Linked DNA regions of Oreochromis niloticus. The main gene of each other region encodes a partner of the protein of the gene in region 2 in a complex. Links are inferred from orthologs where the notes say so. Each region holds a gene or a part of one and is shown on either strand. Other genes may lie near its edges.

What was found.
Region 1: jade3 (region 2) and ing5a share a complex: the UniProt entries of both Homo sapiens proteins name them as parts of the HBO1 complex. The link is inferred for Oreochromis niloticus from reciprocal best matches to the Homo sapiens genes JADE3 and ING5.

Annotation. Positions count from the first base shown.
Region 1 is NC_031986.2:38,130,577-38,134,498, reverse strand, and holds the start of ing5a (inhibitor of growth protein 5a), read right to left. Parts: upstream 2,980-3,922; 5' UTR 2,456-2,979; coding exon 2,419-2,455; intron 1,621-2,418; exon of another isoform or gene 1,537-1,620; intron 1,197-1,536; coding exon 1,125-1,196; intron 258-1,124; coding exon 91-257; intron 1-90. UniProt on the Homo sapiens protein: Component of the HBO1 complex, which specifically mediates acetylation of histone H3 at 'Lys-14' (H3K14ac) and, to a lower extent, acetylation of histone H4. Component of the MOZ/MORF complex which has a histone H3 acetyltransferase activity.
Region 2 is NC_031986.2:35,881,391-35,885,312, forward strand, and holds the start of jade3 (protein Jade-3), read right to left. Parts: upstream 2,900-3,922; 5' UTR 2,649-2,899; intron 2,643-2,648; exon of another isoform or gene 2,256-2,642; intron 1,116-2,255; 5' UTR 1,054-1,115; intron 972-1,053; 5' UTR 961-971; coding exon 912-960; intron 687-911; coding exon 604-686; intron 525-603; coding exon 367-524; intron 1-366. UniProt on the Homo sapiens protein: Scaffold subunit of some HBO1 complexes, which have a histone H4 acetyltransferase activity.

The DNA.
Region 1 (3,922 bases), about 2.2 Mb from region 2:
TGTAAATCTGATAAAACGGCGACAAAAATGACTATAATATGACATTAGAATCAGTGGACAGTGACAGGACACACATTGTTTCGGACTAACCATTTCATATGTCTGCATTGCGAGCTGGACTTTGTCATCACTGAACTCTTTGCACTTGCTGTAGGCATTCTGGATCTTCTGCAGGTGTTCCACTCTCTGCTCAGAAGCTAGATTCTTGACATTTGCGATGTACTCTTCAGCCAGTTTATCGATCTCTCCTTTCTTTTCTGCACAACAACATGATCATTATAGTGCTGGATAAAACTAGTGATAAAATATTACATGTAAGCTTCCTATTTACAGTTGTGGTCAGACGTTTTCATACAGGCATGAATGCCATGGTAAGTTTGCATAGAGCTAAAATAGGGTCAAATGTTTTATTCATTTAAGTTTAAGTTTTGAAATTTAAAAAACATAAAACAGGAAAAAATATTTAAAAAAATAAAAATCTATTATTTTGTTTTGAATAAATTATTTGGTTTCATGCAAATCTAACATATCAATATGTTACAATGTAATGTTTGTAACATTGATATACATTAAGGTGGGAAAAGATTTACCACAGCAACAAGGAATACTGTTATCTGATTGGCTGGTAGGTTGCTTACCCACAAGAGCTCTGAACTCCATAGCAAAATCTAATAATTTAATAATCCTGTTCATTTCTGTATATTATACTGAAATTAGAATCTGCTAACTTAATATGCCTTTAACCTTAATGTATATATAGAGTTCGTATCTCTTGTTATGAATTAATGATTTCCTTTAAATTATTTCCTTGAACTGTTCTTATTCCAGGGTGGAATGACTGCATAGCATACATCTTTAATACCCTTATAAAACAAGACTTGGATGCATAAGTTTGAATATATTTTGGATTTTCTCTAGTCACAAAGGGTCGAAAGTGAGTGGATGTAAACTATTGACAACTGTTTGTCTAAGACTACTGGTAAGTGGTACAACCTAACACATAAGGAGCATGGCTAAACTGGGTTTTCAGGTATCGCAGATTATACTGTCAGAGCCATTTGTTTATTTTGTATAAGTCCGCAGAGCTTTTTATTGACTGTAATGTTAAGAGATTAAATTATCACCTTCAGTTCTGTTGTCCAGGTCTCGCATCAAAGTGAAGTTCCTTTGTAGCTCACATGGCAAGTTTTCAATACCTAAAGAAGAGATTAGACAATATTAATGCCTAACAGTTCATTCCAATTACATTTTCTGAACTTAATCATCACACTTAATTAATTGCCTTTGTAAAAAGTCAAATGCACAAACTCAACTGAATACTTCAAAACCATAGAAATATAAATAAGAAGTAAAGAATGGAGGTTATTATGACAATAATTACAACCTAGAAATCATTACGTTTTACACTGAAGCCTTTCTTGTTCTACCTCCTCACTTTATGGGTCTAATTCTGTTCCACCTGGTCACTCCCAATGAAAATCATAATCTTTAGCTTGACTACCTTCTGTCTGTTTGTTAGCGTTCTCTACCACCTACCTACTCAACCCTTTCAGTCTTCCTGCTATCCTTCTGTCACAAATCCGCCCTGACACTTGTCTCTGCCCACTCCATCCTGCCTGCATTCTCTTCTTCACCTTTAATGCTAAAGGCTAAAATTATTTTTTTCATTATACTTACATAACATTTTATACAACATTTAAAATACTTGATGTCAAATCTGCACATTAAAAACAACACAAATACCATCACAACCACACACTCACGTGTGCATGAATTGCAGAATGTTATCGTGTAACAACGTGTCTGTACAAAATAACGCTTTACATGTATTACATCTGTCCCAATAGCAGACATTATTAAGGGCATTCACAACAACTGACTAGTAAATACACTCTGTACGCCATGTGACGCACTTCAAACACCCCGACCCGGCGCGTAAACTGTTACGGGAAACGCGGTAACCAACAGGTTGTAAATGCTTTCCTATATAAAAACACAAACTGTGACTAAAATGATCAAAGATTAAATATAAAGGCGGTTAACATAACAATTTATCTTTAAATGCCCTTATATAACCAATGCTAGTTGCGTAGCTACAGGCTGCTCCAACATTGCTAGCGCATGAATCAGAAAAGGTTGCAACCTACAGTCAGTTTTCCTAAATATGTGAAAACAGTTAATTATTAGATTCCCTTTTGACTGAAACTGACAAGAGACATTAATAGTTTACGTACCTTTATCACTGCTAAGGTAATATCACAATGCTAACCAGTTAGCTGGCGAGCTAATGACCTAACAGCTTGTTAGTTGCAAACGCACTGCATGGAAACCGCTGTCCAAAAATTTGTAATCAACTAAACCTTTAAAAGTTGCATTTTCTATCTGTTGACAGAAATTTACCACATTCCGGATACTTACTGTCAAGGTAATGTTCCAAGTATATTGCCGTCGCCATTTCGAATTAGCTGTTTAGCTTCTGCGTTACCCTCGTTAGCTCCTCAAACTGTTGGCCAGAGAGGTTGGGTTTGTTTTGTAACCCTGGGTCGCCCGTTGGTCAGTTGGCTTGGAGTAACGCGAGTCTGTCTGCAGTCACAGGCTTCGCCGAATTAAATGAAGCGAGGCTCACAAAAACACAGAGGAAGTGGCAGTTTACCCCGAGCGTGCCTTCACTCCGAACATGCGTGCTGGAGGACAGGGCGCAACTTTTTACGTTTGGTACCTCACATGTAATAAAAAAGTTTCTAAGTACTATTCATTTACTTAAGTATTACGAACACATAACTTTGCTCCCAATCTCCTCTGCTACATTGTTTATACTAGTTTATACGCGTTCTATGCCAATTTAATGCACTCTTAACTAACTGTATCAGCCAGAAATGATGGAACCAACAAGCAAATTCGTTACACACACACTCTCAATGGAATCATGTTTAATAAACATGAGGAATATTAACACAAGCCTCGCCGTCGGCCATGTGATTGCGAAACGTTAGAAACGAACTTCAACAAGCGCGCCCTCGCTCCGTTTGCTAGCACTTTCCACCACTGTCAGCTGATAGGTTACGTCATCCAAAACAAACACCTCCCTCTCACAGAAAGACTGAACATTCGTGAAGATGCTCTGTGGGCGTGGCTTAAGGCCTCCGTTGTGTACAGTGTCCGCTAAGTTTAGCGGTCAGGGTTTTTCCTCTCCGTGGAAGGAGTCTTCTTCTTTTTCTTTTTTTTGCATCTCACTTCCGTGTTTGCTGTTTCTTCACGAAAGGCTTGCTATCACCCTCCCCCCAAAAAGCATACAAGAAATCAAGTAAGTAACTCATTTATCCACCGCTTTTACAAGTACGGATACTAATGCCCTCGGTTAAAGAACAAGTTGTGGTGTTTTAGCGTATTATAAACACGGTTAACCGATAGGTCAGCTTTGTAATGGCGACGTGTTTATATTAAAAAGCCGCTAACGGTTAGCAATAACCTACATATCAAAGAACTTATATCATATAAAATCCACATTATCACAGGGTTGCTATGGGTGGCATAGCAGTTATTAAACATGAGGACGACCTACTCACAACTGGCCTAGTCTGACTTAAAACCAGGATCACATCTAAGTAAATATCCTAAACAGTGGTTAAAGCAGGAGAACTGTCAGTTATCTGGCTTCCACTAATGTCATGTCCTAAACATTGTCTAACTAAGCATGGGGGAACTACAGAGTAACTAAACATGGTGTTAATATTTCTGGGCATGTGGCCATATTACCATGAGCTGTTATTGTAACTTATCTTATATAAGCTTCTGTTTCTGAAAATAGATTTGTGAACTTGCTAATAGTGCTAACAGTCACGAGGTTTGTGTTGGATATGCCACACCCAGTCATGTGCTCCTAGTGTCTCAGTAATAACAGATGCTCTCTAATGTGTTTACA
Region 2 (3,922 bases):
GAGACGATCAGCTGACGCTGAATGTATCTGCCGCTCTCCTGTTTGCACTTTCAGATGGGTTTGTGGTCACATTGAAGCCTTTCTTCTCCTCCTCTAGGAGACACAGGAGCATTCCCGATCCAGCTGACAGGTGAATTCACCCACCCAGGGCTCCTACCACTGGGTCATGAGACACCTGAGCCGGTTCCCATTGGGGTGGAGCTCCTCCAGAGCGTTCAGTCTCTGAGGCTGTGTCTGATGTAGTCATGTGCTCAGCTACGGCTGACTCATGTAAACTTGTCACTTGAGTACGCTGATCAGCGTACTCAAGTACCTGCGTGAAGAGGTGGTGGCACACTACGACCTTTGGGAGGCGGTCGGACTCACCTGACAGACGGCTCTGGGATGGTGTCTGGGCTCGCTGGCACCTGCACTCCTTTCTCCCACTCCTGCTTCCAGGTGTCTGCCAGCAGGTAGTAGTCCTCTGGGGAGACGTGGTGGGAGTCAGGCAGCTTCATGGCACTGATCAGGTCTTTCCTGAACACCTGTGGGCGAGAGAGACGCACACAGGTAGTCAAACGCCGTCCTGACATTTATTGACTCTCAGCAGAGTCTGACACGCACCTCAGCCGGCTTCTTCTGGTTGGAGGCGGGCGTTCCAGGTTTGCTCCCATATTTGTTGGAGGAGCAGAACGAGGTCGAAGGACCTAAAAGAAGAAAGAGGCGAATAAAAAGAAATGAAGGACATGCTTATTATTTTCCAGTTTTAATGATGCTACCGTCTCACACTGATTATTGAAACTGGATTCTTTTGCACCAACAGGCAGGACTGCACACAGATTACTTTCTTCTGTTGTTAGAGAAATAGTTACAGAGCATAACAGGTTAGAAACGATGATTACGCCAGAAACGAAGTGGCAAGCTCAACTCACTCTCATTGTCAGACGTGTCACTGCTGCTGGAGGACCGGAGGCGTTTCATCCTGTATCATCCTGCAGCAAAAGAAGCTGATGACATTAAAATATTGATGATTTTAAGGCCAACGGAAGTTCAGAAGAAGAAATGTGTACTCACCGTAAACTTCAAATTGAAAAGCATGCTAGTAGATTCTTCTGTCAGACCGCTTCAGTTCATATCTGCAAACCACAAGTAAATAAAGACATTTATAAATTACACAACTTTTACTTCACTGATCACATGTTATTGATTATTTTACATTTTATTGTATCCCTGCTGTAACTTTCTAATTCACTTGCTTTAAACGCGTCATCATCCCATACGATCACTTTTGTTTTATTACTTTGTGTTGCGTCTCTATCTGTGAAGGACGGAGCAGCACTCACCTGCCTCACAGGTGTCATAAAGACACAGGTATAGTGACTCATCTCACACAACAAAGCCTTATAGCAGTTCTTCTTAAAAATATTTGTTTTGTTTTTTTTAACTTTTAAAGCATATCTGTGTCAATAAACAAGAGGTCGAAGAGGCCAGAGCGACGCTGTTTCAACAGGCGGCACATGCCTGACATTCCCCATGAAGACACGAGGAAGAGGAGGAGCCAGGAGCCCCTCTCCTTGCCATAGCATAGTGACGTACACCTCACGTGAGCAGCTCAAGTCAACTTAGAGTGTTGTAAATAGAACCGCGGGTTCTCCCTGATGAACAAGAATCATATTTTCACTCCGTGTTTGTGCTTTTCTACTCGACTTTCCAGTAACCTTAAGCACCAGAGGCTGCAGTTCCTTTATTGTCCGGCAGAGGCAGCAGTGAGTTAGTTCTCATAGACTCCCTCATGGACTCGGGGACCACAGTATTGTTTCTGTGTTGCCAATTTCCTTGTTCCAGGTTTTTTAACTAGTGGTTCTAATTTTCATGAAGGAGACACTCTCATGACTTCTCAAGTGATGCCATTGACTAGCCAATCAGAACCCCGGTGGAGTATGTACAAAAAAGTACCAGGTACTATGACCTAACAGAGAACCCGAAAAACCGCAACGAGCCTACCCGAGTAGGTACTAATACTAAACAGTGGGCTCACTTCTGCCCCCAAATACAACCAGTATGGCAGCAGCTACCACTTCGATGCTGAGGGTTCAACACTGACGATGAGTGTTCCCTCCATCTTTTATGTACAGTGTGTGGAGGCTGTTCAAACAGGTTTATATATATAAGATGTCATTACTCCACAGGAAGATGTGGCAGGTGTTCTCCACCTGACATCTAACCTGTGGAGGGAGGGCGCACGGATATGACGTCAGGTTGTTTAAAAAGCTCACCTGACAGGAAACGATGAGAAAAGGCTACCACACTGTTTACTTCCCTCCCTCCTCCTGTTTTGTGCCGTTTCTTGGCTCACCTGAAAGAAAGCCTCACACACCTGTGTAAAGTGTTGGCGCCAAACTGTAAGGCCTGCCCGCGGGCTGGGAAATCAAACATGGGCGCCTCAATCACTCAAAGATGTCACTTCCTCAGAGCCTCTGAGGCGGGCATCTGTGCTGCTCCGCTGGGTTCATACCCCGGGAGCCTACCAGCCGCTGGTGGTTCCGGGGTAAAGAGGCAGGACAGCCCCAGAGAGCGCGCAGGCCCCGGGCCTGAAGGGACCGTCCAGGGCAGAGCCCAGAGCTCAGGCTCACCTCGAAACCATATTGTTCACATTTTCCCGCTCATACCTGCAGTCCCGCCGCTGCCGCCTGCGTTATTCTGCTCACACGGTCCTCACACGGCTTCGGCCCGGGCTCTGGTTCCGGACTAGGTACTTCTGTCCCCGTAGCTCAACGGGAGGATCCAGCTCTGCTGCCCGGACACCAACACGCCACAACGGCCCTATTGTACCGCGCAGCCCACCGGGTCCTAAACCCCGCCGCTCGCTGTCAGCCTCCGCCTTCCTCGGTGTGGTGTTAACGCTGCATTACCGCCCCCAAGCGGTGGGAGTGTGAACCCCGGGCAGATTTTTGTTCGATAAAACGAGACTTTTGGAAAATGAAAAAGCCCGTTTGTGGCAGGGACGGATCTAGAGGGGTGGCATAAGTTGGCATAGGGTGGCACCCTAAAATGATCTCTTGTCACCCCTAGTGCCACCCTAGTTTTGCATGTGACTGTTATTTTTAAGTACAAATAAGGTAGCCTTAACACTTTGAGCCCAGCAACAATTAAAAATGAATATAAATCCTAAAACTGATATTGCACACACACACACCGTTAACAAATGGTTTAACCCATGGCGCAGACTGGCTTTATTTCTTGTTTTCAGTAGATTTTGTAAACTTTATTGTTTACAAAATTTGTGAATAAGTTTTCAAAATTTACAATTTATATTTAATTTTAAAGTTTTAAAATAATTTATTAAACATGTCTGTTGTTTTTATGGTAAAATATTTTTATGCTTATTGGGCTACATATTTATTTATTATTTTATATTTACAGGCTATACAGGACATAAAATCAAAATTCACATGTTTTATGTAACTGAAATGTTTAATTAGGCGGGCTACAGAAAATAATGAAGTGATATACTATATTTATTTGAAACACGTATACTTACTGCATTTGAATCATTTTAACTATATGTAACACCTTTTTTAAAGACCTATGTCTTTAAAAAAGGCTTTGATTTTGCCACCCCATTTGATTTCCATGCTAGCCTAAGAACATTTCTCTAGATCCGCCCCTGGTTTGTGGGTCTTACAGTGTGAGTGGGGATGGGGCACAGTCCATTTATCAGTCTCACAGTGCAAAAAACTCATCCACCATCTACTATCCTACTGGCAGTCCTATGATCTTGTTGGGTTGTCGCTTCTCACGGGACTTCCAGCTGCTAAACCAGGATGTGAAGCTTAGCATCAGAATGTTTTCTGTTACACCTCTATTTCTATAGAGGTGTAACAGAAAACACCTCGCTGTGAGGCGAGGTGTTGGGAGTCCTGCTTTCCTGAATCTTCCGAGG